Rattus norvegicus: one gene and its partner. The protein of the gene in region 2 binds, or shares a complex with, the protein of the main gene of each other region. Links are inferred from orthologs where the notes say so. Each region holds a gene or a part of one and is shown on either strand. Other genes may lie near its edges. The genes, in order: Tns2 and Dlc1.

The links.
Region 1: the proteins of Dlc1 (region 2) and Tns2 are in contact, whole or in part, in an NMR structure (PDB 2LOZ), measured with the Homo sapiens proteins. The link is inferred for Rattus norvegicus from reciprocal best matches to the Homo sapiens genes DLC1 and TNS2. Residues at the interface, in NP_001335010.1 of Homo sapiens: Glu811, Asp812, His813, Lys814, Pro815, Gly816, Thr817, Phe818, Pro819, Ala821, Leu822, Thr823, Asn824; in NP_736610.2 of Homo sapiens: Asp1268, Leu1269, Leu1270, Arg1271, Gln1272, Gly1273, Ala1274, Ala1275, Cys1276, Lys1317, Ser1319, Ala1320, Gln1321, Thr1324, Leu1387, Asp1388, Pro1389, Asp1390, Gln1391, Val1403, Leu1404, Leu1405, Gly1406.

The regions. Positions count from the first base shown.
Region 1 is NC_086025.1:135,115,287-135,119,104, reverse strand, and holds part of Tns2 (tensin-2), read right to left. Parts: intron 3,413-3,818; coding exon 3,374-3,412; intron 3,071-3,373; coding exon 3,032-3,070; intron 2,869-3,031; coding exon 2,819-2,868; intron 2,603-2,818; coding exon 2,431-2,602; intron 2,142-2,430; coding exon 2,091-2,141; intron 1,796-2,090; coding exon 1,673-1,795; intron 1,587-1,672; coding exon 1,522-1,586; intron 1,128-1,521; exon of another isoform or gene 997-1,127; intron 423-996; coding exon 339-422; intron 1-338. UniProt on the Homo sapiens protein: Tyrosine-protein phosphatase which regulates cell motility, proliferation and muscle-response to insulin. Phosphatase activity is mediated by binding to phosphatidylinositol-3,4,5-triphosphate (PtdIns(3,4,5)P3) via the SH2 domain.
Region 2 is NC_086034.1:62,008,204-62,012,021, reverse strand, and holds part of Dlc1 (rho GTPase-activating protein 7), read right to left. Parts: intron 3,051-3,818; 5' UTR 2,926-3,050; coding exon 1,852-2,925; intron 1-1,851. UniProt on the Homo sapiens protein: Functions as a GTPase-activating protein for the small GTPases RHOA, RHOB, RHOC and CDC42, terminating their downstream signaling.

The DNA of each region.
Region 1 (3,818 bases), on a different chromosome or scaffold from region 2:
TCTAGAGGGCGCCTCACACCAACCTGGCAGCTCTTGAGAGACCTAGAAGGCTCTTCTAAACTTCAAGGAGGCAAGCCCTGCGCATCCTGTGGAGTCTTACAAGCCTCTGCTTTATTCCTGTCACAGACCTTACTGTCAGCCAGAACGATCTAGTCTGTTTACGCATGGCTTCTTGCCTTCTACTCTACTAGCATATAAATACCACGGGAGCCTGACCTTGTTTGTTCTGACTTCCCAGAACTTGGCACAGGGCCTGGCTCACTGGGCTCCCGTACACTGTGGGATTCAGGTGTGCTACCTGAGAGGGAGAGTCAGCCCTTCCCCACTGGGGTGCTCACCGGTGCTGGGAGGGCTGCAGTTCCATGGCCGCCTTGTCCTCACAGAATTTCCTCATGGTGAGGGTTGCCAGCGCTTGGTCTGCCCTGGGGAGAGCAGGGGAGGTCGGGGGTTAAGGACCGGTCCCATTCCTGCCTTCCATTCTTTTTTTTTTTTTTTTAAGTTTTTAAAAAAAGTTTAAATTGCCTTATCTTGTATTCCCATGAATCACTTGAACAATTACAAACTAAGCGCATATATATACATATATATATGTGTGTGTATGTATATATATATATATATATATATATATATATATATATGTATATATCACTTTTATGCTATTGCTTGTCACTCATACACTTCTAGGAAGATCGCCTGCCTTCCATTCTTTTTTTTTTTCCGGAGCTGGGGACCGAACCCAGGGCCTTGTGCTTGCTAGGCAAGTGCTCTACCACTGAGCTAAATCCCCAACCCCCTGCCTTCCATTCTTAAACCCCAGGAAAGGAGGAACCTCTCTGTACAGAGGAACTCCCAGTGGTGGTGAAGAGAGCTAGAGACCCTCCAGCATAGCCCAGTTGTTGGGCCTTGGGCAACTGAACCTGGCTTTCCTCACTTTTAAAAGGAGGCAGTTAGACAACCTGATGGGTTGAACTGTATCCCTCCCCCAGAGAAATGTACCTCAAATGTGACCTTATTTAGAAATAGGGTCTTTGCGGATGTGGTTAGATAGGTTAAGATGAGATCATACAGGAGCAAGGTGGGTCCTTAATTAGGGTGATTGATCCTTAGAAGAGGAGAGACAGAAACAGGCGCGCAAAGAGAACACCACGTGATGACGGAAGCAGGGGGTGGAGGGATGCCGCTGCCAGCCAAGAACTGCCAAGGACTGTCAGGCACCACCAGAAGCTGGAAAGAGGCAAGGAAGGAGTCCGCCTAGAGTCCCAGAGAGAGAGCGTGGCCCCACTGACACTGACTTTGGACTTTTACTATCTCAGAACAGTAAGACAACTGAGCTATATTATTTTAAGCTAGTCTATGGCACTTAGCTGGTGGCCCTAAGAAACTAGCCCAGTTCCTCTGCTGTGGTGTGCTGGGCCCACAGCTGGAGATAGACAGTACCGTACCAAGTGTATAGTCTGACTAAGGAGAAAAAAGCTCAGACAGGGCCGGACGAGGAGGGGTCACTGAAGCAGGGCAACTCACCCTGCAGAGATCTTGCTATAGTGCATATAGGCAGAGACGATGACTCCAAGCTTGCCTTTGCTACCCTAAGAGATAAAGAGATGGAGATGGGGAACCTGCAACTTTTAGGCTGAGGTTGTCCTAGCTCTGTTACCCCAAGGTCCTGGCTCACCTTGCAGTATAACACGACCACATGCTGAGGGTCGGCACTGAGCCACGTCTCCATGGCTTTGCAGATGGAACACAACTTGTCCAGAGGTGGGGCATGTAATTCCGGCCAGCCAAAGTCATGTACCTGGGGAAGTACAAGTACAAGTGTGTGTGTGTGTGTGTGTGTGTGTGTGTGTGTGTGTGTGTAACAAAGGGAGGAAGATGTGAATACAATACAGGGACCTGGGGGCAAGGCGCAAACTTAGTAGTTGTCCACAGTAGCTTGGACACTTTTTTCCGCCATACTGTGGGCTGATAACCCCAGCACCTCGTTTTTAGTTATCTTAAGTAGTGTGAGAAAAGTGGATGTCAACAAGGAGGCAGAGCCTTTTCACAAGGTTGGCTCGGAATAAACGGCAAACAGACCATTTCCCTCCTACCTTGGGGTTCAGGCGGGTCAAGTCATGCCGTTTCTCTGAAAGGTTGAAGAGCTGAAATAAAGGGCAGAGTTAGATGACGGTGACTTGAGATGCAGGTGCTGGAGGTGAACCCTCATCGAGCATCTTGCTCTAAAAATAGTAAGATTGTAATCCGCTGGAGCTGAATTCTCTGCACCCTGCGGTGACTGGCTAACCTCCGGCCCCGCCCCGCCCCGCCCCTGCTCGCGAACACCGCCCCCTCTCCAGCCCCATCTCAGGTATTGATGGGGAAACAGTAGCCTCGCCCCATTTGAATCTCCCAGCCCTCTCATTGGTTGGATCTGGCCCACCCGCTTCTCACCAGGTACTTGTCTCGGTGCTTGGATTGAAGCACATGGGCCAGCTCTCGCAAGTGGCCTCGGTGTCGCTGCTCGTCTGGTCGTGCAGGAAAAGCTGCGGCCAGGATCCGCTCTGTTACATAGGTGAGGTCCAAGTCCCAGCGACGCTCCATGAGCGGATCCAGGCTGAAGCTCCTGGGAGAGGACGCAAAGCCGATTTAGAGAACAGAGAAGCGCGGCGGCCCAGGGGCTAAGGATCCTGGGGAGCTCTGGGCGACCTATTAGGTCCTTAGGGTGGGTGGCCCGGAGGGGGAGTACTGTCCTGGGGGCTTTATTGGCGGCCACTGCCATAAGCTGAGTAGCGGTCCAGTGGAAAGTGCCTACGTGGGATCACCGGGCGTCCTCACTCACCTGGGTAGAGTACTGCGTTGCTTTGAGTGGTTCAGAGACTTGGTGGACCCCTGGTGGATGAGAAACCGTATGCCGACAACTGTTTGGATGCATCGCTTCTAAGCTTCCGGGTCAAAAGTTCTACAAACCGTGGTCTTCTGCAAATGTAGGTCCCTACTCCAAGAGCTACCCACACGCCCGCCCCTTCCCGCTCAGGCTCCTAGCATCCCTTACCAGGTGTTCTATGCGCCGGACTGGGGCTGTGTTTCTCCGCTAGAGTGAGGAGGTGGGGGAGGAAATGGGAGTGGTTAGGGCAGGGGCAAGGACCAGTTTGGACCTGGGGGCGGGGTGGGAGCGCATGTCAGTGTCCACTCCCTGGGGACAGGACTCTAGTCCCCAACCAGCCCTAGAAGACAGTCACAACGAAGGGCTCCGACAGTCATCTGTTGAGGATAACTGACCAATAAACCACAGCATTCAGTACTACATAACCTGGAGACCCACTTTGAGACCACCAGACCCCGGGATATTAGTCAGGTTCCTTGCCTTCCCTGCCCCATCCTTGAGCACACTCACCAGCTCCGCGGGGGGCAAGGCCTGACAGGATGAAGTCACCTGGAAAGAGGTGGGAGTTTAAGGCTGAGCTGGTGAAACGGGGTGCTCAGCCTCAGGGAGGAAGATGCAGGGCCTGTCACCTGATGAGCACAAGCTCTAGCTGAGGTTCCTCTATTTAAGGGAGCCTTGTTTCTGCCTCTCGGTCTCCCACCCCTCAGGCCCCCTGCTTGTTGCTCTTGGCTCTCAGCCCCCTGCCCACACAGACCCCCATTCATCCAGCTGCAGGACAGGAGTTATATATAGAGCCAGCCAGCCAGGCAATGGCCAGGGGTGGACACTAGCCTCTTTCACCGTTGAGACCCCACCCATGGGGCACATAGCTCCCCCAAGCTAGCTTGAGGCCCTGGGACTATCCCCTGCACTGATGGAGGACCAGGAACGTTCCTCAGAGATGGGGGGCTGCCTC
Region 2 (3,818 bases):
CAAAGCAAGTATTTCAACCAATAATCTGGCAACACTTTGGGGTGTTGAAACACTTAAAATAGAAAATTTAAATTAGAATTTGCAAATGAGATATAGCTATGGCTTCCCAAGTGCAGCCGTTAGCAGTACGTTGGAGAGCAGATTCCTTCCTGCATTCTTCATATTGATATCAACGTCCAACCATGAGCATATGTTGCAGGAATGTTTAATGTGTCTGTAGGCAGTTGGGCCAGATTTGTCTTATTTTAGGGAGCTATGTCATAAATCAGTTAATATTTCCTTGTGTCCTTATTGCATTCTTTTCAACAGATTGGATAGGATGTATGGAAATTTCTGGAAATGTGACCCAAGCATTCCAATCATAATAACTTCATGGGGCACTGACATTTGAATACAACATACAGAAGGAAGAAAGTTTTTGCCAGAAGCATAGAATATTCTGTTGGGATTTAGTCTGAGCATGTTGACTTTTGCCGTACACTCTTTGAGTTCATTTTGCGTCGCTGAAATGACTACATTCGGTTTAATGATCTAGTTTGTTAAAATAACCACAGTGTTTGGAAATAAGAAGTAATTGGAAAGGTTCCCCCCCTCAAGCAGTGCATGAATGGCCACCGTGAAATAGAAGTAAGAATAGCTATCTTCTGTTTCACAAAGTTCTCTTCAGAGTTTCTTCCATGGCCACAGAAGAGTGACCAGAGAAGAAACTAGCCAGCCCTTAGAGTAACATCCGTTCATGTAGTACTGTGTCGTCAGAAAATAAATGGAAAGGAAGCCTGAAATCATGAATAAGAGCTCAGTGCTAACCCACAGTCATGTAGGGCCACCCTGTACTTTCTTTCTCTTCCTCAGGGGAATCTGTAGAATAATTCAAAGGGCTTGGTATAAAATAATTATATTATGTACGCCGCCCCTTTCAAGGCAAAGACATAATGGTGCCTCTGCTCATCGTAGATGTACGAGTGTGACATTTAAAGTAATATTAGCACATGCAAAGCGTTGTCTTTCCATATTGAGAGTGTTATTTTGAATTAAGATTTATATTATTCTCAATTACATGTACATGTGTTTATCTGCATGCGGGGCTCGTACACACAAGTGCAGGGGCCCACAGAGGCAGGGGGCATTCGTGGGGTCTCCTGGAGGAAGAATTATAGGCAGCTGTGAACCATTCCACATGGGTGCCGAGAACTGAACTCTGGTCCTTTGGAAGAGAAGTACATGCCCCTAACCTCTGAGCCATCCCGCTAGTCTTAAGTTGATTTTGTTTTTGTTTTAAATATGTGGCTGCCAATGACTAAACATGCTCTTTGAAAGGAACGGAAAACAAGCCCATGCAAGTGAGACAGATTAAATACACTGCTGTTTTTCTTATAAAAATTACATGTCCCTTTTCAGAAGGCCATGAACTACAGGGTGATGCTGTTGGTGAGTATTAAATTCCAAGGAAAGTGAGCCATGTTGAGTGCTATCGTAACACACTTTTTTTTTGTTTTTTTTTTTGTTTTTGTTTTTATTTTTTTCCGGAGCTGGGGACCGAACCCAGGGCCTTGCGCTTCCTAGGTAAGCGCTCTACCACTGAGCTAAATCCCCAGCCCCTGTAACACACTTTTAAAGAGCCACAAACTATCTCAATGTTGGTAGTGAAACTGTAAGATTATTGTATGTCAACTCTCACTTAGTTTCAGGGTTTTATCAAGAGAACGGCCTTTAAATTGTACTTGCTACATGACAGGGTAAAGACAACAAAACATCTGTGCATCCTTTTCAGCCCAAGCACATTCATGAGTTATGAAAAGAAAGATATTTACAACATTTCAAGGAACCAGATGATCTGCGTGTGAGGCTTACCTTTCTCTTGCGCAGTCTGACTTGATTGTCTCCGGTCTCCTGGGTGGTCACTGGGCCCCTTACGTGTAAACACTGCATGACACCTTCCTGACTGACCCTGAGAGGGCTTTTGTTTTGATATTCTGAGAACCCACTCCTCTCCAGGTCATTTTCTGCTGACATTCCACCAGGGCAGGAAGGAGGCCGCAGAAGGCAGCTTCCGCAATCTGCTTTTAATAATGGCAGCCCTCTGTCTGTATAAGGAGCCACTAAGAAGTCTTCTTCTACTACATGGTGCAGATTCTTTTCCTGGTCATCGTTAGGGAAGTCAGGTTTCCTGTGTTGTTGAGCGATTACTGCAGAATCAAGCAGTTGTGTCTCAGGTGTGACATCTTTCACGAGTACCAAAGAATCAAGCAGTTGTGTCTTAGGAGTGATGTCATCTTTCGCATTCAAAGACTGGAATGTATTTACTTTGGCCACCTCATTTGTTTCACTTGCACTTGTACTCTTACAATGCTCCAGGCTTTTACTTATAGTGTCGCCATCTTTCCTTTCTTCACCTCCTTCTGCTGCAGATATCTCAGCTTCACCAGCCATCGTCCAGGTGTTGTGAGAATCTTGGCTACTTTGCATGGTGGACAGTGTCTTCCTGAAGGAGCCTGCTCCTTTGACACTCTCGTGGCTGTCCCTTTCATGTCTTTGTGGAGGTAAAATCTGTGAGTCATTGATAAGGTGCAGATCGGAGTCAGTATCTTCATCAGAAATGTGCACTAGTGTTTCTGTGCTGGCCTCGAGCGATAGAAACCGCTCTTCTCCTTCCTGGCTGTCACTTTCATCCACTTCCGGTGAAATGTGACCCATTGGCCTCCCAGGAGAGTCTCTTGTCTCTGACCCACGACAGCAGTCTGGTAGAGAGGCATGCTTCTCTTTATGGTCCACATTTAAGGTTTCATCTTTCTCCATCCTTACCTCCAGGCTGTCGGATGCCAGTCTGTGGTGACATGCTATGTCATACTCATCAGAATTAAAAGGCTGTTCGCTCTGCTGGGTCACATGCTCTTCCCAGCTCCTCTTTCTGAGAGCTACAGACATGTCATCATAGTTTAACGGCAGACAAGGAGATGCATTCCATAGGACACTCAAAGGGATGGACGTCGGGGAGAGAAGATTCTGAATTCATGGGTCAAGGAAGAGAGTGCAATCTGCCATGTTGTCATCTGTGGAAAAATTGAAAATATGCTGTTATAGATACATTTCCAACATAACTGTATTTCATGGCAAAGAATCTAATCTGTGCTGTGAAGCTGAGGTAAGAAATTTGCTGAATAGCCTAAACGGTTTTATTTCTTAGAGGCAGTCTAATAGTAGAGAAAAATTTGCATTTAGTATTTTTAGTAAAAGTTTATCAGTACTTACAAAACCAATTGGACTGGTTTATTAATGAAGAAAGAAATAAGTACCCAAAATATTTTAAGCTCCGTTAAGAAAATATTTGGATTGCGGTGCTTAATAAAATTCACTGGAAAAACGAACTTGTTGCTCTGGCTCTGTGTGCTTTCCTGATTTACTTTTGTGAACAAAAGCCATTAAGGAAATTGATTTGCTGCTTGGTTTGTATTGAAACAAAGGCCATCAGGGAACCAGTCTTGCAAAACTTGAGCAATGGAGAAGAATGTGAAATGCATTAGTGTGTAAAACAACTCATACCAGACCCAGTGACCAGGATGTCCCTACCCCAAGGAGTGACAAGGAAACAGAGCAATACAGTGTAGTTCATATTAACTCACAATTTATGGATAAGAAAGCATGGTGTATTCCATTATAAGGCTTTAGAACAGATACTCTATCCATACATGTATTTTCTGCTATCACTAATATCATCGCAGTATCATCAATTCCTAAAATAGTGTGTAAATGTTCAAAACAATAGATCTAGAATGTGAGCGAATGTTTAAATTAGGTAAAGCATCTACGACCTAGGCTCA